Saccharomyces cerevisiae S288C: one gene and its partners. Changing the gene in region 3 together with the main gene of any one other region gives a genetic interaction. Each region holds a gene or a part of one and is shown on either strand. Other genes may lie near its edges.

Region 1 (8,603 bases), on a different chromosome or scaffold from region 3:
AATTTACAAAACACCTAATCCAATCATTTCACCAGATTACCGAAGCGTTTGCGTTAAATGTCCTGCTACGGCAATCGACAAAGTAGACCCACTCTATTACTACTGTTTGTTTGGTACTTAAATTGCTTTTTGTTAGCGAAGAGATATCGACGATGCACACGTTATTGATAAACATCATATACGCAAAGCTTCGAATTAAAAACATATTCTTGAGAACAGGTAAATTCCTTGAGCATAAATCATCAAAAAAAGAAAATAAATTCTGGAAGCGGATTAAGTGTGTGATCTCATAGAACTGCCTTAAAAATCTTGAAGCCAGTCAAATTTTCCATAAATCCTTGGGTTCTACTCATGTAATCAAAGCGAGGATAGCCCACAACTTTCACAAGTTCGATTTCGCCAACAAATAAAACAGCTTAACTGCTTTGCTATGTTTCCTCAACAATCGAACTGGCTGACGAGTAGAAGTCTGGCATTATGTGGAATCACTCACTGCACCAGCTATCTCTCCAGTTACTAGTTGTATTCTCTGTCAGCAGTCGAAATGACTTTTTTAATATCAATATGGCAAAAAAGTAATACACACTGTTAAGAAGTTAACAAACATAGTAAATAGTGTTTCTCAAAGTGAAGCCATTTTTGAAAAATCCAGTTCACTATAAATCCACTGTGCCAGTAGAACAGTTGCAAGAGTCCCAGTCCATAATAAAACGCTGGGAATGATTCCAGGCGTTGACTTGAACACAATTGCCAAATTTACTCAGATGGGCTGAGCCCGTAACAAATAACGTCAACAGGCCAGTAAAGGTTAGGATCCGGGGTGTAACTAATTTGAGAAAGAAAATGTCACTATTTTGCGCACAATAATCACAAAAGAATAGCAAATTCAGCTCTTTGGCTACCTTCTTCTTTTTTTTGTCCAAAAACATGGAAACATACTATGATTACCATTTTGTACCGACGAAGATACAAATGACACCAAAATCTTCGTCAGAAAACACTAGGTTATCGCGCAAAAATTTCTAGAAGTATGGTACCAGAATATTGCACTACTTAGCCGGGCCACATAGTAAATTTTTCTCAACACCAGGTACTGGAGTTAACACTAGGAACCGAAAAGCCAGTTTTTTTTCTTTCTTAGATATGATCGAGATAGGTTTAAAGAATTAATGTTTGAGCAGATTAATGCCCGACCTTTGTCATGTATTGTTTGATATCTTCAACGGGATGTCGGACATTATGTCAAGTCAGATACCATACAGAAATCTCTATCGCTAGCTCGTAGGCAAAAGGTGAACGGCAATATCTAGTAAAGACTCTTTAAACAAAATAGTAATTATTATGGCAGAGATGAACCATTCACATAGGAACAGGAACAGCCAATGGATTTTTCATTATTCTGAAACCACAATTAATTCATGATTTTGTTTCGGTGCATTTATTCTTTCATTAATGAAATTCCCATGCTAACTTATGTATCGTTTTTGCAGTGCAAGCATCCTCCTTGACAACGCATTAAATATGCCTTAGTAATCCATTAAAAATACTGTTTTCATTCTTCCACAATATTACACCTGCTAGATTCAAATACAGGCTATGAGGAAGTGAAGCCAAAGATCGAAACGTGGAGAAGGGTCCGTAGTTATCTCTTCTTTGTTCAAAGTTAAGAAAAAGCTACCGGTTTACCGATATCACTGGACGATGGAAGAAGAATGCAGCAGCTCAAGTACATATTTTACAAAAAAAAGAGTATATTAGTTCATTATATTAATTTCACTAACCGCATCAAACTAGGAGATATCAACCGTATTGTATGTTACCTTGGGCGGGCGCTCTAAAAATACGTGAAAGATTTCGCGTCAGAGAAATTTCTCATAGATTAAACGTAAACAAAATTCAGATGGTTCTGCTCGAGATAATAAAGTAATTCATAGAACGTTAAGATTTATTTTTACATCCTCAAAAGGCGCGAGGCATCTTGATAATTCTTTCTATTGCGATACTTCGCCATGCTACTAAATGTAACGTCTTCGCAATACATAAGCACACCTCAATCCAGAAGTCTGAGTGAAATTGACACGTCAGAAACCGCCAGCTTATCATCAGCTACAGACCACATTTTTGCATTATCCACTGAGGTTGTATCCTCAATTACGACGAACCTCATTGAGGGTTTAGAAAGTTCGATTCAGGTCCCCATATCAACCGCATATGGTACGACTTCCTTCCGCAACAACACTTCAAGTCCACAATATCTGGTTAGCAATTGCACTTCCTCTGTTCAAAGCAATATCACTATCGATAGAGGACTGTTAAGTACATTGAAGACTTTCACTACTTCACAGGTGCCAACCATAGAGCCTTCGACGACTAAACTAACAACACCATTATCTACAACATTTACCTCAACCTCTACATCGGAAATATACTCCGTATTCACCAGCGAGAACTCAGTTTATATCATCTATGACCAAGAATACAAATTTACAGAGCGATCGACAACATTTAACACCCACTTTCCCCAAACAACTGTGCTTCAAGAATCAAATCCTCCGTTAACTTTCACCATTCCATCCAATACCATTACCGGGGATGCTAAACTTTATCAATATCTATCTGGTGCACTAAACACTCAAGATACCTCAGATGCCAATAATAGAAGGACCGGAGTTATTGTCGGTTCTACGGTTGGAGTTGTCATTGGAGTTGTAATAGTAATTTTTATCGGATTCATAATTATTAGAAACAGACGAAACGTGAAAAATCACAGCAAAAAGGGCTTTAGCCATGATATTGGCAAGAGGGTAAGTTGTGATGAGGTAACAGAAACAGAAGCACCGTCAAATCCGTTCCTAAATGTCCTTAATTATAAAGTAACAACCAACGGCGAGGGCAAACGAGATTCCTTTGAAAATGGTAGAGATTTACACAGAGCTAGTTCCTCAGACGGTATATATATAGCACATCCTTATTATGGGATGGCGGATCACGAATCCGGGAGATTTTCATACGTATCGTCATACAATGAATCTGCGGAGTCATCCATTGAAGAAACAAGTTCCAGTGCGTCTACTATTACTCGGCCAAATATTCAGCAAACCAATAGCTTTTTGAGAGAAATTATTTAAAAATAGAAAAAAGTGGATTCCAAGATTTTCGTACTTCTAAACAAGGCTGGTACTTGTTGCTATTTCTTTGGAATTATTTGTAAATTTATGCACGAAGCAGATAGAGTTTTATTTATTCAACAGTATTTATATAATAAATATTGATCTTACTATACAACTAGATTCGTATAATCGTCTGTTTCGTCACAGACGGGAAAAGAGGGACAAAAAGAGAAAATGTTAAAAATATTATGGCCTATTTTTTGGCGTTCTTCCTCTTTTGAGCACCTTTAGATTTGTTATCATTCTTTTTCGCATTGTCAACTTTCTCAGTCTTTTTACCGGCATTGGCAGCTTCTCTTTCTTCTTGAGCATAAAACTCCTTTAATCTTTTTTGCAAATCCCAGTTACTGTACCACAAACCAATTTGTAGGATGATAACACCGGCAAACATAACTAATAAAATTATGTTGGAGGAAGCAATAACTGCCAAACCCTGATTTTCCGTAACTTCTCCCCAATTATGGCTCACAGAACAGTCGATACCTGTTTTCACATTAGTGAGAAACACACAGATAGCCAACACGTACAACCCCAATGAACAATACTCAAACATCTGCAGTTCAGGGTTTGGCTTGAAAACCTTAATTGTACCACCAACTAAGCCAATACCGGCAACAACGCACAAAGTAACAATCACCGGCAATGGAGTCTCATGTAAAATTTGGTAATGTCTCAGTGCCAAATCGAAATGCTCTTGAGTAGAGTTAGGATTAAATAAAAGATGATAATCGTATGGCATGTTACTGAAGAAAACACCCATTAGGAACGTTGTGGCCGATAAGATCATGGCCGTACCGATAGAACAGAAATCTGAATATGAGAACATCGTTAGAGTTTTATCGTATCACGGGATTTTATGCTCTGTAGTCCAATGAATTTACGGCTGTCTTCCAAAATACTTAAATCTGTCCTTTCATCAACTTTTTATATTTTTCAGAGTTTTTACACAACCCGAAAAAATTGTTATCGTGTATTAATTTTAGTACATTATAAAAAAAGATGGAGAGGGAAAGAGCCACCAATTACATTGGCGAAAGGTGATGGTGTAAAGTAACGGCAACCAAAAACAATTATGGATGGAAAACTTGGTATGAGAGTACTATTATTACGAACTCCACATTAACTCGATTCACCAAGTCCTTTCCCCATACGTTTACCCGGCATTCCTGAAAATTTTCTAAGATTTTTTTCTTCTTAATCGATGAGCTTAAAAGGTTTTCTGAGAAAATGAGAAAGTAATCTAATGTAGAGGACAGGATAGAGATTGAAGACGTCTACAGCTAAAATGGGGTCCGAGGAAGATAAAAAGTTGACCAAGAAGCAGCTCAAAGCTCAGCAGTTTAGAAAAAGTAAGGAGGAAAAAGATCAAGAGAAAGACGTAAAAAAAGAGCAAGCACCAGAAGGAAAAAGACCCAACAGTGCAGCCGGAAATGATGGTGAAGAACCCGTGAAGAAAAAAAGAAAAACACGTAGAGGCCGTGGTGGTAAGGGCAAAAATGGTAAAAAGGGCAACAGATTTATTGTCTTTGTCGGTAGCTTACCTAGAGACATCACTGCTGTTGAATTGCAAAACCATTTTAAAAATAGTTCACCCGACCAGATCCGCCTCAGAGCTGACAAAGGTATTGCATTTTTGGAATTCGATGCTGACAAAGATCGCACCGGCATTCAAAGACGTATGGACATTGCCTTATTACAACATGGGACCTTACTGAAAGAGAAGAAGATCAATGTCGAGCTAACTGTTGGCGGAGGTGGTAACAGTCAAGAGCGTCTAGAAAAATTGAAAAACAAAAACATCAAGTTGGATGAAGAACGTAAAGAGAGGTTGACAAAGATGATTAACGACGGCAACCAAAAGAAAATCGCCAAAACTACCGCCACTGCAGCTCAAACCTCTGGAACAGACAACAAGCCTGTTCCTGCAGGAATTCATCCTGATAGAGCCAAACTACTTAAATGAGTACAAATTTAATTTTATACGCCATGTATCTTAGACAAAAAGAAAATAAAGGGAAAAACATAAATAATCGTGCAGAATCATGCTACTGCCAAAAAAAGAAATGGCAAAGATGCCCAATACGTAAACTCTTCCGGAAGCAATAGCGCCGCATTATTACCGCTGCTCTATTTCACTTTATCATGAAAGACGAGACGGCTGGTACTTTTTTTTCCCCAAATCGGAGCTACTTTTCCGCACTTCAAGTCCGGTGGGAATTTTTACTACTACCCCTTAATCAATGCACTCCCCCCGCAATGACGTACAGGGGTAACATGTCTAACATTTAAGGTTACGGCTGTTAGCATATTGGGGGTTATTTGAATTATAGGAACGCCAAGAAAAAGGACAGAGGGTAAAAACATTCTCGGTGCTGCCGGATTGCTTATTAAGACGTATCCGTTAAACAATCTCCGCTTTTTTTTTTGTCTAACAGCCGGCTCTCTTTGGCTAGTCTCCATCCCTTCGTCACCTTCGGCTGTGGTCACACAATAAGGAAAGGTGCAAAAAAAAAAAATAAATACGAAAATCTGGAAATTGAATTCTTTTCATTAACATTCATTCACTCACTGAACTTATTGTCAATCGGAACATATTTCCTTGCCTTTATGAATTTTTGAAAAGAAAAAAGTTAATAGGAAAAACTAGATAGATTGCAAAAACGTTCACAATAGCGTACGTAATCCTTTTACTTATCATACGGAGTGATGTCGTTGTCTAGAATCCTGCGATATAATCAGAGAAATAACAAAACTACAGCTTCCTTGACTGCAGAACACGCCTATTCCGATAATTGGGCATATTCCGTCTCGTTAGGCGATCCCACTAGTGTTGGTGTGAATATGGCTGCTAAGACGGGTGAGGCGCTAAATAAATCATATGATTCCGTTTTTTCTTCTCTCCCTGTTGCAGATAGTGTACCTCGGACAGACTTTACTGCATCTTCCCGGGATGATGAAAACACGGACGTGCAAAAGCTGACCACTTCCTGGATGGAGAAAATTGACACGAAGATGCCCGAAAACATATCTAAAATCGACTCTAATATTATTTCCTCTCCCATGGTCAGTAAGGTTGAAGCAAGATTTATTGTTCCTAAAGGAAGATTGAGGAAAAATTCTACCGATTTTACGTCATCTTTCTCAAACTCGTTAAGTTTACCCAAAAGTTATGGCAAATTAATTTTCTTTACATCAAAGAAAAACAGCAGTAGTACCAAAAAAAATCTAGCGAATGATATCAGTGATAACAAGCATAACAACAATTCTTCTAATACTATCGGTCACAATATTCCAGTCACGACAGCCACGGCGACATGTGATGAGATTGCATGCACCTCCACAGAACATGAATATAATGTTTATGAGGAAGAGAGGATGTTCACTACTCGTGTATATTCTCTAGAAGATTCGGTCTCTTCACTGTCCACGAATCCTCTCGACGACACGTATTCAGAAGCAGTGCAAGTAAATACAAGACATATCGAGGACACTGAAAGCACGGCCCATATAAGAAAACACTCCTATACTACGTCATTGTCAAGTATCAAAAGGCTCTTCAAAATAACGTCTTTTAGCAATAACAACAGTAACTCATGCGATCACCAGGAAAGCACAGTTGCAGATGATTGCGCTATATCATCATCATTGAAGGAAACAACTTCTTCGCCAGTCTCAACTGGATCATTCTCTCTCATGATCGAGAATGAAGACAGCGATAGAGATCAGATTATTCAGGCTTTATATAGTAATATTGAAGCATCCACTGACTTGGTTTCCAGGAAATATAGAGATCTCGACGTTGTTCTCGGCGAAGGTTCTGGTGGTAAAGTGAAACTGGTCCAAAGGGTCCTGGATAATAAAGTTTTTGCATTAAAGGAATACAGGTCAAAGAAAAAAAGGGAATCTGAGAGAAAATACATCAAGAACATAATTTCTGAATATTGTATTGCCTCCACATTGAAGAACCCAAATATTTGTGAAACATTGGAAATACTGTATGAGAAAGGTAAAATTTTCCAAATTCTCGAGTATTGCGAATATGATTTATTTTCTTTGGTTATGAGTGAAAAGATGCATTACGAGGAAATATGCTGTCTTTTTAAACAGCTGATCAACGGCGTAAAATATTTGCACGACATCGGTCTCTCTCATCGTGATTTGAAGCTAGACAACTGCGTTGTAACACGAAGGGGAATCTTGAAATTGATTGATTTTGGCGCTTCCAGTGTCTTCCACTATCCATTGTCTTCACAGATGATTGAAGCAAATGGAATTGTTGGTAGCGACCCCTACTTGTCACCCGAAGTCTTTTATTTCAATGAGTACGATCCAAGAGCACTTGACGTTTGGTCCGTGGGGATAATATTCTTTTGTATGATAACGAGAAGATTTCCTTGGAAATATCCCAAAGTGAAAGATGTTCAATTCAAGGCATTTTGTTCCGGAAGAGGTGTGTCATCTTTTAAAGATCTTGTGACACGGCCTGCTACCGATGACAGCAATAATTATGATAATGATGGCTACGAAGAAGGAGTCATTGATATGGGTCCCAATTTCATTCTGCACAGACTACCAGAAGAAACTCACAAAATAATGAGGCGTATACTGGAAGTTTCACCTTTCAGAAGAATTACCATAAACGGAATATTACAAGATGGCTGGATCAAAGAAATAGAAACGTGTCAAGTTGTGGGCGCGGCAAGCCCAAATGAGGCATCGCTTCGAATAATAAACAAAGGTAATCACATACATACAAACATCGATCAACGATACGCCCACATTGGCGGCCTGCATCAGCGAACGTAACTGGAAGAATAGCAATGTCATACTGGCCATATGCTCCAGCTTTTACTTACGCAAGTAATACTTACAGCACTGTAACCATAGGTACATATACGTGAAAATACGACTATATCTAATCTAATCTGTCATTTATTTATTTATTTACCGTCGGAAAACCAAGTCCGCTTGAAAAGGGTTACCCATCTGGCGGCTATGTGTGCGGCGATTCCGCAGGACCGAATTTAATACTGCCTGACGGCGTGCCACAACAAGGAGCAATTGGGGTAAAAATACACATTAATAGTTGAGTAGGACAAGTAACTACGAGTCAACGGCGGCATCAATAACAATAACAAAAGTTATACTGTCGACATCAACACTGACAAGCGTTTACTCATTGCTGCTGTTTAGTCAGAATTCTTGTTATATAAGAACAACCGGTTTCTAAAAAATACATTACCTTTTGGTATAATCCTTTTTGTGATTGTCACGATCTCAACAAAACATACAAAACAAGGATATTAAATTCACAACAATAAAAAGAATAAAGAATGCTTTTTGATAACAAAAATCGCGGTGCTTTAAACTCACTGAACACACCAGATATTGCTTCTTTATCAATATCATCCATGTCGGACTATCACGTGTTTG
Region 2 (8,794 bases), on a different chromosome or scaffold from region 3:
TTCAAACTCGAAATTTACTTTAAAGGTTTATCAGCAACAACATCCGATGCTTGCTGTTTATCTTTTCTCACCTCACAACGTTTATAGTGACTGAAAAATTTTTGCATTCTCACCTCGTCTATTGAATGATGTGCTAAGAACTTGAGCTAACATCACAGAACAAAGGTATGAATATACGCAGCCCTGACATTTGTAGATTTTTTATTTGGTCTCTAGTCTTTTCTTTTCTTATTTTATAACAAATTCGTTAAACGGCCTCCTTCTAATTATATACAAGATGTCTGAAGGTATTACTGATATTGAAGAATCCCAAATTCAAACCAACTATGACAAGGTTGTCTACAAGTTCGATGATATGGAATTGGACGAAAACTTGTTAAGAGGTGTTTTCGGTTACGGTTTCGAAGAACCATCTGCCATTCAACAACGTGCCATCATGCCTATTATTGAAGGTCACGATGTCTTGGCTCAAGCTCAATCTGGTACTGGTAAGACCGGTACCTTTTCCATTGCTGCTTTGCAAAGAATTGACACCTCTGTCAAGGCTCCTCAAGCTTTGATGTTGGCTCCAACTAGAGAATTGGCTTTGCAAATCCAAAAGGTTGTCATGGCTTTGGCTTTCCACATGGACATCAAGGTCCACGCTTGTATCGGTGGTACTTCCTTTGTTGAAGACGCTGAAGGTTTGAGAGATGCTCAAATCGTCGTTGGTACTCCAGGTCGTGTTTTTGACAACATCCAAAGACGTAGATTCAGAACTGACAAGATCAAGATGTTCATCTTAGATGAAGCTGATGAAATGTTGTCTTCTGGTTTCAAGGAACAAATCTACCAAATTTTCACCTTACTTCCACCAACCACTCAAGTTGTTCTATTGTCCGCCACCATGCCAAATGACGTCTTGGAAGTTACCACCAAATTTATGAGAAACCCAGTTAGAATTTTGGTTAAGAAGGATGAATTGACTTTGGAAGGTATCAAACAATTCTACGTTAATGTTGAAGAAGAAGAATACAAATACGAGTGTTTGACCGATTTATACGACTCTATCTCCGTTACTCAAGCTGTCATCTTCTGTAACACCAGAAGAAAGGTCGAAGAATTGACCACTAAGTTAAGAAACGACAAATTTACCGTTTCTGCCATCTACTCTGATTTACCACAACAAGAAAGAGACACCATCATGAAGGAATTCAGAAGTGGTTCTTCCAGAATTTTGATCTCCACTGATTTGTTGGCTAGAGGTATCGATGTCCAACAAGTTTCTTTGGTTATTAACTACGACTTACCAGCTAACAAAGAAAACTATATTCACAGAATCGGTAGAGGTGGTCGTTTCGGTAGAAAGGGTGTTGCCATCAACTTTGTTACTAACGAAGACGTTGGCGCTATGAGAGAACTAGAAAAGTTCTACTCCACTCAAATTGAAGAATTGCCATCCGACATCGCTACTTTGTTGAACTAAGGGAGACAAAAACTTCTTAAAAAAGTATCTTGTGAGGCTATCTTGATAACGTAACATATATTTCTAAAAAGTTATATATGCTTTTTGTATTTAATTTGTTTTTCTTTTTACATTCCTATTATTCTTCAAAGTCCAAAAGACTCTCGGCACGAAGGTTGAAATACCCTATACTAATTGTTTGCTTTGTCTTTTTGTATATATCCGAACGTATCTATCTGAAATTTTTCAAATTTATAAAAAATAATATATATAAAAGGAAAAAAAAAAAAATCGATGCCCTACTAATAGAGATTGGAGCTGAAAAGAAAAAGTGTACATCAAACGCTATATCTCGAGGTTTGGGATGGTTGAGTCAAATGATATTATAAAAAGTGGGCTGGCAGAGAAAGCACTAAAGGCTCTAATTTTACAATGTGAAGAGAACCCATCTTTAAAAAATGATAAGGACATACACATAATCATCAACACGGGCAAAAAAATGGGCATAAACAGGGACAACATCCCCCGTATTATTCCATTAACAAAGTACAAGCTATTTAAACCAAGGGACCTAAACATATTACTCATTACCAAGGATCCCTCTGCCTTGTATAGAGAAACTTTGACGAAAGACGAGCATACGTCGGAATTATTCAAGGAAATTATAAGTGTCAAGAACTTGAGACGTAGATTCAAAGGGAGTAAACTGACCCAACTTTATAAAGATTTTGACTTGGTCGTTGCCGATTACAGAGTTCACCACTTACTTCCGGAGGTTCTTGGTAGCAGATTTTATCACGGTAGTAAAAAATTGCCATACATGATCCGCATGTCGAAAGAAGTAAAATTGAAGCGTCAACAAATGGTCGAAAAATGTGACCCCATTTACGTGAGAGCACAATTGAGAAGTATATGTAAGAATACCTCATACATTCCCAATAATGACAACTGCTTAAGCGTCAGGGTCGGTTATATTCAAAAACACTCCATACCAGAAATTTTGCAAAACATCCAAGATACAATAAACTTTCTCACTGATAAAAGTAAGAGACCGCAAGGCGGCGTCATTAAAGGAGGAATAATATCTATATTTGTCAAGACCAGTAACAGTACTAGTTTGCCTATATATCAGTTTTCAGAGGCTAGAGAAAATCAGAAAAATGAAGATCTGAGTGATATTAAATTGTAAAATTAAAGCATCATCTTTTAAATACGGTATTTAAACACTCCCAATGAAAAAGCGTGATTTTGTCTAACTAATTATAGCATTAATAAAGTGTTTTAAACTTTAATTCCTTTCAAGAATTTGCAAGATTATAGAAATTTAGTAAGCGAAAAAAAAAAAGAAAAAAAAAAGAACAGACACCCTATAAAAATAGAATAAACATAATAAGCCACCATTTGCCTGTCTGATGATATTCTTGATTCTTTATATCTCTTCAGGTATGTGACACCTATACATGCAACGCTTTTTTTGCGTTTTTTCTATACAATAGTTGTTTATTTAAAAGCGTAGGAGCTTCATGCAAATCTGCAAGGTATTTCTTACACAGGTTAAAAAACTACTTTTTGTTAGTCTTCTATTTTGCTTGATAGCTCAAACATGTTGGCTTGCACTTGTACCATATCAGAGACAGCTGAGCCTAGATTCGTATTTTTTTAGAAGATCTCGAGAAGTTTCATCGAGATATGATTTTACAAGGAGGCGACATATGAATCAGACGCTGAAGCTATCTAGCAACACTTATAATGATGAACCACTAAACAAGACCAAGGGAATAAAAAATCAAAGAGAAAATGCTACATTGTTAATGCTTGTGCGTAATTGGGAACTTTCGGGGGCACTCCGTTCCATGAGATCACTAGAAGACCGTTTCAATAAAAACTACCAGTATGACTGGACATTTCTTAATGATGTCCCATTTGATCAAGAGTTCATCGAAGCCACCACAGCCATGGCTAGTGGTAGAACGCAATACGCTTTAATCCCTGCGGAGGACTGGAACAGGCCATCTTGGATCAACGAAACTCTATTTGAAGAGGCTTTACAATTAATGGAGGAAAAAAATATCTTGTACGGTGGGTCAAAGTCATATAGAAATATGTGCCGATTTAATTCTGGATTTTTCTTTAGACAAAAGATATTAGATCCGTACGATTTTTATTTCAGAGTTGAGCCAGATGTAGAGTATTTTTGCGATTTTCCCTACGATCCATTCAAGGTGATGAGGCAGAACAATAAGAAATATGGCTTTGTGATAACTATGTATGAATACGAAGATACAATTCCGAGCCTATGGGAAGCTGTAGAAGAATATCTCGAAGAAACAGAGTCAGCAGATATTGACATGGAAAGCAACGCTTTCGGGTTCGTATCAAATTTCGACTTCATCGGTAAATCTTTTGGTGTCATCGATAGTAACAGCGGCTATAATTTATGTCATTTTTGGACAAATTTTGAAATTGGCGATTTGAACTTTTTCAGAAGTGAGAAATACATTAGATTTTTCGAGTACTTGGATTCAAAGGGCGGTTTTTACTATGAAAGGTGGGGAGATGCACCAGTTCATTCGATTGCTGCCTCACTTCTTTTGAAAAAAGACGAAATCATCCATTTTGATGAATTAGGCTATAAGCATATGCCTTTTGGCACGTGTCCATCTGCATACTACCTGAGACTTCAACAAAGATGTCTTTGTGATAGCAATCACCCAGACAATATTGATCTCAATGTCATCAGCTGCCTGAGAAGATGGTGGAAGGACGGCAGCGGTAAATACTTCCTCAAACACGATTCATAGCGAGAAAAGCGTGTATCCGCATACTATAAATACGTATATATAACAAAGTAACCATCAAGAAAGATGTTCCATACCTCAGGTCATCACCATTTCATGGGTCGCTTAACCGAAAATATCAGAAGCAACCTCTAACGGCGATGGTTTTAAAGATGGATTACCTCAGCACCAACAGTTACACTATTCGGAACCGAAGATTTATCTACGATACTCATTATCCTTTCTCTATCTCACCCTGAAATAATTTATTAAAAATAAACTATGCCAAAGAAGAGAAAAGAGAAAAATTTAAAAAAAACGAGAGCCATTGCAACAGTTTTGGAAGTAAGAATAGGTTGAAAATTAGTCAAAAAGACAAATCCGGCTCCTATAAACCATCAAACAATAGGCTCCCTAAAGCATCACAAATTGTTATGCTTTCTTTTAAGAGAAATGTTTTTTAAAGCATCAAAGGTCCAGGGCAAGAAAAATTCTTTCTGGTAGCAAATGCTATAGTTCACGGCTTTTATAGTCAAAATGTTATATGCGAGAAGAAAAAGAAAAGCGCGAGCTTACTTCGGGTAAGAAGTTCACTTACGAATCAGGGCAAAAGAGCTAATAAGAAGTGAACTAGTTACATAACCGTGTGCTCTGTAGAACACGAGAAAGCTGTTACACAGAACTGTTTTATACCAAGTAGTTCGTTCGATTTGGAAAAGAGAGTAGTCTTTTGCGATGAGTAAAAACAGGGACCCTCTACTGGCTAATTTGAACGCTTTCAAAAGCAAAGTGAAGTCTGCCCCGGTGATCGCACCCGCTAAAGTTGGACAGAAGAAGACCAATGACACAGTGATTACTATAGATGGAAACACTAGGAAGAGGACGGCCTCCGAACGTGCGCAAGAAAACACTTTGAACTCTGCGAAAAATCCTGTGTTAGTGGATATCAAGAAAGAAGCTGGGAGCAATAGCTCTAATGCTATTTCATTAGATGACGACGATGACGACGAAGATTTTGGTAGCTCTCCTTCAAAAAAAGTAAGGCCTGGCTCTATTGCTGCAGCCGCTTTACAAGCAAATCAAACAGATATTTCCAAGAGTCACGATTCTTCAAAGTTGCTTTGGGCGACTGAATACATTCAAAAGAAAGGTAAGCCCGTTTTGGTGAATGAGTTATTGGACTACTTGTCAATGAAAAAAGATGACAAGGTTATTGAGCTTTTAAAAAAATTAGATAGAATAGAGTTTGACCCCAAGAAGGGGACTTTCAAATACCTTTCCACCTACGATGTCCATTCCCCTTCGGAACTGCTGAAGTTGTTACGTTCACAAGTAACATTCAAAGGTATTTCCTGCAAAGACTTGAAAGACGGTTGGCCACAATGCGATGAAACGATTAACCAACTGGAGGAAGACAGCAAAATTTTGGTGTTAAGAACTAAAAAGGATAAAACTCCAAGATACGTTTGGTATAACAGCGGTGGTAACTTGAAATGTATTGACGAGGAGTTTGTTAAAATGTGGGAAAATGTGCAATTACCGCAATTTGCAGAATTGCCAAGAAAGCTGCAAGATTTAGGTCTAAAGCCTGCTAGTGTCGATCCTGCTACTATCAAAAGACAAACAAAGAGAGTTGAAGTTAAAAAGAAGAGACAAAGAAAGGGTAAGATTACTAACACTCATATGACCGGTATCTTGAAAGATTATTCCCATAGAGTATGAGGTTGTTTTGATTAAATCATTTTCGTTTGCATATTAGGTTAAAGAGACTGTGATTATATATACATGCACGTTAGGGTGCAGCATACAACTCAGCTTTATAGTCTACAACGTATTTATAACGAGCATTGGAAACAGGTTACAGGACACCAAAGGGTTTGGGTTTCCAATTTTGAACCCTTGACCAATTTTTTACTGGTGTAGCTCTGTTCTCCTCTTGTTTATTTTTTTTACCTACTGTTCCGAAACTGCTCATTCTCTGTTTCAAAGACGCCAAATCGCCTAGTATATCATTGGTATCAGCCTTTAATGCCGGACTCACTTCCTTCTTCAATGGAACGGAATCTTTTTCCGCAGGAATAAAATCATACAGCTTTATTTCACCTTCATTAAACCTTAATGATAAATTGTCTATGTTTTCCTTCAGTTTTGCCTCGATTTCCACTGTGCTATCAATTTGTTTTCTCCGTTTTTTGTTTCTCCATGAGTTACCAGTAATTTTTTCAGTCTCTAGTTTGGCCAGCATAGATTGGCAAAAATACAATATCAAGTATGACGCATTTTCATCAATAAGTTTCTCCCAATTTTGCCATTTATTTTTAAAATTTTTATTGTTAAGGTTATTTATAATAACATCTAACAGCCTTTTTTGTAGTTCTTTCCAGGCATTGAATTTCCTTTTTAAAATTGTCGTTATATTACTATCATCTTGTTGGGTTCTGTAATTCCTAGCTACCCACTCAATGACCTTCCAATCAAAATTGTTCAAATTAAGCATTAAAACTTTGAGTAAAAGTGGGTCATAATTGTTAAAAAATTTCTCAAGAACCACATTGTGATAAATGGATAATTTCCAAAGTTCTTGCCATTGACGCAAATTTTCCCTGATCATAGTTTCTGATGAACTTGCGTGTGAACTTTTCCTCTTTTCGGCATCATAGTTCACCAAATTATCCCCAGAAAAGTTACTACTTGTAATTAAACTATCGTTTGCATTCTCCCACACCCATTTGTATTCCAGAAACTCGTTTCTAAGTCGCTTCCATTTATCAAGTGTTTTAGTTAATGACTCCATATATTTCTCCAGTTTATCATTTCTTCTGTATCCGTAACCGGTATCATCATCATCGTCATCATCATCCCTGTCATCTTCTAATTCCTCATCGTTCCAGTAGTGATCATATAGCCAAGATAACGCTTCATTGGCGGCCCAACGAAGCATTTCTAATCCAGGTAAATCTCTCTCATGTGTACCCCAGTGTCTCAAATCAACAAACCAGGACGGCAGTCCAATTTTAGCAGCTAATGTGTGTAAGGGAATAGCGAACTGAGATTGTTGCGTTGGATCCAATAAGCCATTGACAAACCGAATCAAAGCCATTACATACGATAACCGGATAGGAATAGAATCCTGATGTACTCCTAAACACGCTTCCTTTTCGTCTAGCAATACCGCACATGTTATTTGTGCTGTAGAGTCCACCACGTGAGGTAAATATTGGGAACCCTTTAGTCGGTAGCTCTGTACTCTTTGCACTGCACGCTGTCGCTTATCTTCAATGGTTCCTTTGCTTTTCGGGTAAAACCAAAGTTTCAGCTCCTCTAGTTCAGCAAAATCCCTCCATGGAACGATTCGTGGTGGTATCATTAGATTGCCCTTTTTTCATTGCTTTCTAGAAATGACTTTTGTTTAAGCTAATTTAGGCATTCTTAGGTATTTTTTTCACTCTTTCTGCGACTGCGATGAGCTTATTAATCTTTCACATTCGGGTAATTTTTTGCATAACAATAAGTCATGAATTTATTGTTGCGATTTTGCAGTGTTATGAGTCTATGAAGAGAAGAAAGAAACTAGAAACCAATTGATACCAGACTTTAGTTGACAACTGATCTCATAATGGGATATGACTCCCAAGTTAGGACAAAAAAACGACATCGAATTACTGTAGTATGCACAAATTGCAAAAAAAGGAAAAGTAAGTGCGATCGAACGAAACCATGTGGAACATGTGTACGACTGGGAGATGTGGACAGCTGTGTCTATCTCACCGATAGCTCTGGACAACCTGAAAGCAGTCCTTCATTGAATGATGCTGACCCTCTGAGGAAACAATCAACTCCTGCGGAACGAATAAGTCCAGGTTTCATTAAGAAAAGAAGATCGTCACAGACAAGACAAGACGAAGATCACTGGCAAAGAGTACGAGAACTTGAAAATCAATCATCACTTTATTATCTACCAATTCATGAAGAAACTCCATTTTTTATTGACCTCATCCCTAATGGGTTTTATTTAGAGACCAAAAGGTCTGCTGATAATTTATTTGGTCTGTTCACGGATAGAGCAATTGAAAATCGCGACCCCTATCTCCAAGCAATGGTAACATTTAGAAGTATCGCAATCAAAAAAATGATGGATAAATTGGGAAGCAACGGCAATAATGTGAAAAATGGAAGCTTGCCTAAATCTTTCGAAGCTTTATCCACTTTCGATGCTGATGACGAACGCCACATTAGCGATGATGTTGTTGGTAAGGGCAATAACTTCCGCATGCATCAGACTATTCACAAATCATTGTTTAACAAATTCGCTCAATACAGAGAAAATAATGCTAAAAAATTCAGCTCAGAAACTATATTAGCAAAGGATTATTTGCCTCCTTTAAAAATACTTGAAAGTGAGGTTTTAGCACTTTTTGAAGAAAAAATTTACAATATGATACCGATTTTCGATATGAAAGTTTTGCGTCATGAAATAACGATATTTTATCAAAATATAGTCGAGAAAGGGAATCCAATTTCTATAAAACACTACGATCATATGGTTTTCTGCATAATCTTGTTGATTATTAAA
Region 3 (5,619 bases):
CTGGACTGCGTCTTATCCTCGGATAGTTTCGTTAATAGTCTAAATTTATGGATCAAATTATACCCATGAATTAGTGTGTCATCAACGATTTTCATACCATACGAAAGGGTTCTTGGATCCTTAAATAACGCTTCTACAGCGCTGTTCCACGATATATTATCTAAAATAAAACCTTTTTCTCGCAATTTCTTCCACAGTAATGGCAGCTCATCGATTTTATTCATTGCAATCAACTGACTTACTTTATAAGGGAACAATCCGCTGAATATGCTTCTTAGTTTAATATTTGGCGTTGTAGATGATGGCAAGTTTTCAATGTTTTCAATACGATCCATGTATTTAGCGAAAAGTGTTTCGAAATCTTTCCATTGTTCAATTTGAGCTAGTAATACCAACAATGATCTCATCATCACAAATTTATTATTATTTGATATCCAATCATGCTTTTTGAAGAAAAGCTCATTGTACCGGTTGTATAACTCTAAAGCCCGCTGTGGGCTATCATGTTTCACAATCATTCTCATTGGCCATGCCATGACCGAGGGATGCAGTTTGTTATACGTAACGTCGAGAGTTCCATTGGCAGCATTTTCCATGATGTCTTCTACCATATTAATCGTTTCCTTGATTTCCTCATTATTTTGTAGGCTTTTTTTGGCAACGGCCTTCAATATATAATATAAAATTTTGGAATTCGCTGGTACCTTATTCTGTGACATTGTCTTGTACAAGTTAATTATACCGTCACGATAACCCTCTTTGTCATATGCCTCCATTATTATTTCAAAATGTGTAGCGTCCACCTTGATTACAGAATGTTTTATTAGTTGATCTATGATGCTCAATGCCGTTTCGCAATCTTCGTTCAGTGTAACTAAAAATTTTATCATCATCTTGTAAAATTCACTGTTTACAGCCAGTTTTGAGGTTGTGATCTTGTCGAAAAGTTCTTCACACTTGTTGGCATTTCGTAAACCAATATAAGCTTTGATGGCTTTGTTATACACTGAAATTAGACCATCTCTCCAAGATAAATTCTTTGAATGTTTTTCAAATAATGCTATTGCCTCTGTTGGCCTGTTACTCTCAATATATACATCCATCAATGCAGAGATACTTTTTCCAGTGTGTTGGATATTATAATGTTCAGTCATAAGGTTGAATAATTCTTGAGCGATTAAATGGTTCGTAGTTTTGCAACACATTTGTATCAATAAAGCAAAGTGCCCCTCCGTGATTTCCACGCTAGGATCCTCGCTTAGTCTTTTTAATATCCTAAACGCACCATCAAGGTCATTTAAACCACGATACACTTTAAGCATTATGGTATGCGTTGCTGTTGAAGGCGTTATGTCGTATTTCTTGAATAGTTCGAAGTGGCTAAAACAGGCTGCGAAATCTCCGACTTTATAATGTGCATATAGTAAAGATTGTAAAACAGCGTATGTCGGTATCATACCTCTCCTCAATAACTGTGTATATAGTTTATTGACACTATCCAATTCACCAATTCTGGCCATAGTATACATCAAAATACCATAATGTTGTATGGAAGGTAGCTTACCGATACCGAAAAGAGCATTGAACTGTTGTTGTAAGGCGTCCCAATTATGCAGCCTAGAATGAGCCACCAAAAGATAATCAAATTGGTTTTGGTCGTGCTGAGCATCAGGGTATTTCCAATATGTTGACGAAACCAAATTAAACTTCTGCATGTGACAATACGTCTTTAGAATACACGTCAGGTCAGAACTCACTATCGGCAGGTTATGTTCGCACTTGTAATTCCAAACTGCTTCTGCAGAAGAAAATTTCCTAATATAAGTTAATAAGAACAACAACGTAGTTGCAAATTGAGACGCTATTGCGGGCCCTTGCGTTAGCTGAATTGCTTTCAAATAAGATAAATAATCGGGGCGAACATTTGATTGCCTCATGAATGATAAAAAGTTTCTCAAAACTATCTTGTTCTCCATATAATTCGTAAATTCACAATGTCCATTCACTAGTTTCATCCATTTGACCCATTTATATACAGCTTCTTCATGCATATTCATTATAACCATCCTAGAGAAAATCGAGTTAATGAGGTCTATCACCATTGTCTTTTGTGTTAATAGAAACCGTTGTATGATATCAGAGATTGCCTGATCTAATTGAATACCTCTTTGTAAAATCAATAAAGAGAGAAGGAACTTTTTCAATTCAGGTAATGAGGCATCCTGTTTTAACAATCTTTGTGAACCAATAGTGGTATAAAGAAACTTCTGTGCAATTTTTATAACGTTCCCATAGGCCTGGTGCCGATAAAGATACTTTATAAGGTACTGTCGTTCAAATGTTGTGGTAGCTGAATTACTTGTTATTGATGTTGTTGCTTTCTTTGTTAATCCACTGCCAACCGACTTTAGAGGAACACTTCCGCGCGCCATAAAATATGAGACCAGGTTTCTCTCATCCTGTGAGCATAATGGTGACGTCGATTTATCTCGAAGCAGCTTCCTTATATGATCAGGTACGCCGGTACTCCATATACCCTTCTTATAATTATAATTTCTTAATACGGCAGGAGCACACCTTTTCATAATGGCCAAAAAGCGTGTTTCAGTATACTCCAACACCCTTAATCACTTAAATTCGAAGCTTTGTACACTATTGCGGCCTCTTTCCTGGGTATCGAGGCTGCGTTAGCGTCACCTAGAAATCCCACTTTAACTTACACTACATGATTTTTTATTTTTATTTCTCTATTGGCCCGAAAAGTTACTTTTCCTTCAAACAATGAAAAATTTCAAAATCAAACCTCATCGCGATAGTATTAAAAGTGCTTTCACAAGAATGATACAGGAAGGTGGTCAAGTAAGCAACTGAGCAAAATCAATATGGGTACAGCCAAGCAAAATCAAAATAGAAAGAAGTTTACGAGGGAGTATAAGGTTAAGGAGATCCAAAGAAGTATTACAAAGAAAACTAGACTGAGAAAGGAATACCTTAAAGCTTTAAAAGATGAAGGGTATGCCGTACCAGAAAAGGAACCAAAAACCGTGGCAAAAGAATCTGTAAGGAAGATTAAGGAAGCCAGGGCAATAGAGGGAAAGAAGAAACTAGACGAGAAGAAGGAGATCAAGAAACAAAGAAAGAGAATGCAAAAAGATGAATTAAACAAGCAAAGAAACGAGCAATTGGAAAGAATCAGAGTTTCGAAGGAAAAATTTCAGAGGAGAGAAGATAGAAAGAAGAAATTGACTCAAAGAACAAGGACAGGCCAGCCCTTGATGGGCCCTAAGATAGAGGATCTTTTGGATAAAATTAAGACGGATGATACTTATACCTCCTAGATAATGATATTCTTCAAAATTTCTTTTCATTCGTGTATTTACAGAAAGATCTTTTTATTTAAATTTACTTAATTAGTGTGTATATTAATTTTATTTCCTGCCTTTTGTTAATTCCTTTTTATTGGAATTTGTTATTTACAAGACTGTTTTGCCCATGAGGACTTGACTATTTCTTCGCTTGCTTCTTTTGGAACTCAGATATCAATTCTTTTTGAACATGGGGCGCTGTTGGAGCGTAATGACTAAACTCTAATGAAAACTCACCTTTACCTTGAGTCGAGGCTCTTAATGAGGTGGCGAAACCGAACATCGTGCTCAAGGCACATTCTGCTTTTAATGTAAATTCATCATGACCATTTTCGGTATCCTGTATTACTGCTTGTAATTTATTCAATAAACCGATGACGTTACCTTGAAACTCGTTTGGCGATGTTACTGAAACATTCATGATAGGTTCCATGATCACCGGCTGTGCCCTCAGGAAGGCGTCACGGAAGGCTGACATAGTAGCTGTTTTGAATGATAATTCATTAGAATCCACGGCATGAATAGCACCATCATTGATTAGCATTTTAACATCCAAAACACGATGACCGATCAATGGTCCCTTTTCACATACTTCTTCAAAACCCTTACCACATGCAGCCAAATACTTGTCCGGTATACGGCCACCAACAATAGCGGTCTCGAATATGTTGCCTTTGGTAATGTCATCCACGGGAGATAAGGTACCGATAACTCTACCATATTGACCAGCGCCACCAGATTGTTTTTTATGTGTATAATCAAAATCTGCCGGGATGGTGATAGATTCTCTATAGGAAACCTGCGGTTTACCCGTGACACAGTCCACATTATATTCACGTCTCATTCTTTCAACGTAAATCTCCAGATGCAATTCACCCATCCCAGAAATAATTGTTTCTTTAGATTCAGGATCGAACTTCACTCTGAATGTAGGGTCTTCCTTTTGAAATCTGTTCAAAGCCTTCGAAAAATTCGATGCGTCCTTTGAATTTGGCGTAATCGATAACGAGACAACAGCATCTGGAACATACATGGATGACATAGAGTATTGAACGCTACCATCAGTGAATGTATCTCCAGAAGCACAGTCAATACCAAAAGTAGCGCAAATTTCACCTGAGCCAACTTCATCAACATCTTCCATCTCACTAGAATGCATCCTGACCAATCTTGCAACCTTCACTTTTTTACCAGTCTTTACATTTGTAATGTAATTACCTTTTCTTAAACGCCCCTGATATACGCGAACATAAGTCAATTGACCATATTTGCCTTCTTCCAATTTGAATGCCAATCCAACAAATGGCTGTTGCACCGCAGGAACTAAGTTAACCTTGGCTTCGTTGTTGCTCACATCTAGAGCTGTATTCAACACTTCAGAGGGATTAGGTAAGTAGTCTACAATAGCGTCCAAAACGGGCTGAATACCAGTATTTGCCAGTGCGGATCCCATCAAAACTGGTGTAAAAGACCTAGCAATTGTAGATCTGCGAATAGCATCTTTAATTTGTTGCGTGGTAGGCTCCTTTTCTTCCAAAAACATTTCTGCCATTTCATCATCCACATCAGCAAGTGTTTCGATCAAAAGTTGTCTTTTTTCCTCCATTAATGGCTTCAAATTTTCAGGCACTGGCCCTTTTTCTATAATTTCACCATTATCACCCTTGTTGTAAATAGCAACTCTATTAATCAAATCAACGACACCAGATAAGCTTGATTCCGATCCGATAGGAATTTGTACAGCAGCAGCAGGTATTTTTAGTTTCGAATTAAGTTGTTCTATTGCACGGAAGGGATCTGAACCCATACGATCCATTTTGTTGATGAAAGTTACTCTTGGAACATTATATCTACGCATTTGACGATCCACGGTCACAGTTTGGGATTGAACACCTGAAACAGCACAAACAACAAGAACTGCACCGTCTAGTACTCTAAGAGCACGCTCCACTTCGATAGTGAAATCAATATGACCTGGAGTGTCGATCAAGTTGAAATGATAGTTTTTGCCCTCTTTATCCCAAGAGCAGTAAGTAGCGGCAGACTGAATAGTAATACCCTTTTCCCTTTCAAGATCCATAGAATCCATCTTGGCTCCAACATTATCCCTACCACGAACCTCATGAATGGCTTTGATTCTTTTTGTATAGTACAGAACACGTTCAGTGAAAGTAGTTTTTCCGGAGTCAATATGAGCAGATATACCTATGTTACGCAATTTATTACATCTTCCAATATCGTCTGGAGTAAGTTT

The links.
Region 1: mutations in FYV7 (region 3) and NOP6 together harm fitness more than expected from each alone (negative genetic interaction), as found in Saccharomyces cerevisiae (2 studies listed by BioGRID).
Region 2: mutations in FYV7 (region 3) and UTP30 together harm fitness more than expected from each alone (negative genetic interaction), as found in Saccharomyces cerevisiae (2 studies listed by BioGRID).

The regions. Positions count from the first base shown.
Region 1 is NC_001136.10:73,819-82,421, reverse strand, and holds NOP6 (Nop6p), read left to right. Parts: upstream 1-4,455; coding exon 4,456-5,133; downstream 5,134-8,603. Other genes in the region: YDL211C (uncharacterized protein), read left to right, coding at 2,010-3,128; SHR3 (Shr3p), read right to left, coding at 3,364-3,996; serine/threonine protein kinase PRR2, read left to right, coding at 5,877-7,976; GDH2 (glutamate dehydrogenase (NAD(+))), read left to right, coding at 8,504-8,603. UniProt on the Saccharomyces cerevisiae protein: Predicted to be involved in rRNA processing.
Region 2 is NC_001143.9:554,710-563,503, forward strand, and holds UTP30 (Utp30p), read left to right. Parts: upstream 1-1,808; coding exon 1,809-2,633; downstream 2,634-8,794. Other genes in the region: TIF1 (translation initiation factor eIF4A), read left to right, coding at 278-1,465; mannosyltransferase KTR2, read left to right, coding at 2,968-4,245; transcription factor TFIIE subunit TFA2, read left to right, coding at 4,957-5,943; rRNA-processing protein LAS1, read right to left, coding at 6,080-7,588; OAF3 (Oaf3p), read left to right, coding at 7,838-8,794. UniProt on the Saccharomyces cerevisiae protein: Involved in rRNA-processing and ribosome biosynthesis.
Region 3 is NC_001144.5:268,126-273,744, forward strand, and holds FYV7 (Fyv7p), read left to right. Parts: upstream 1-2,882; coding exon 2,883-3,338; downstream 3,339-5,619. Other genes in the region: PET309 (Pet309p), read right to left, coding at 1-2,585; MEF1 (Mef1p), read right to left, coding at 3,505-5,619.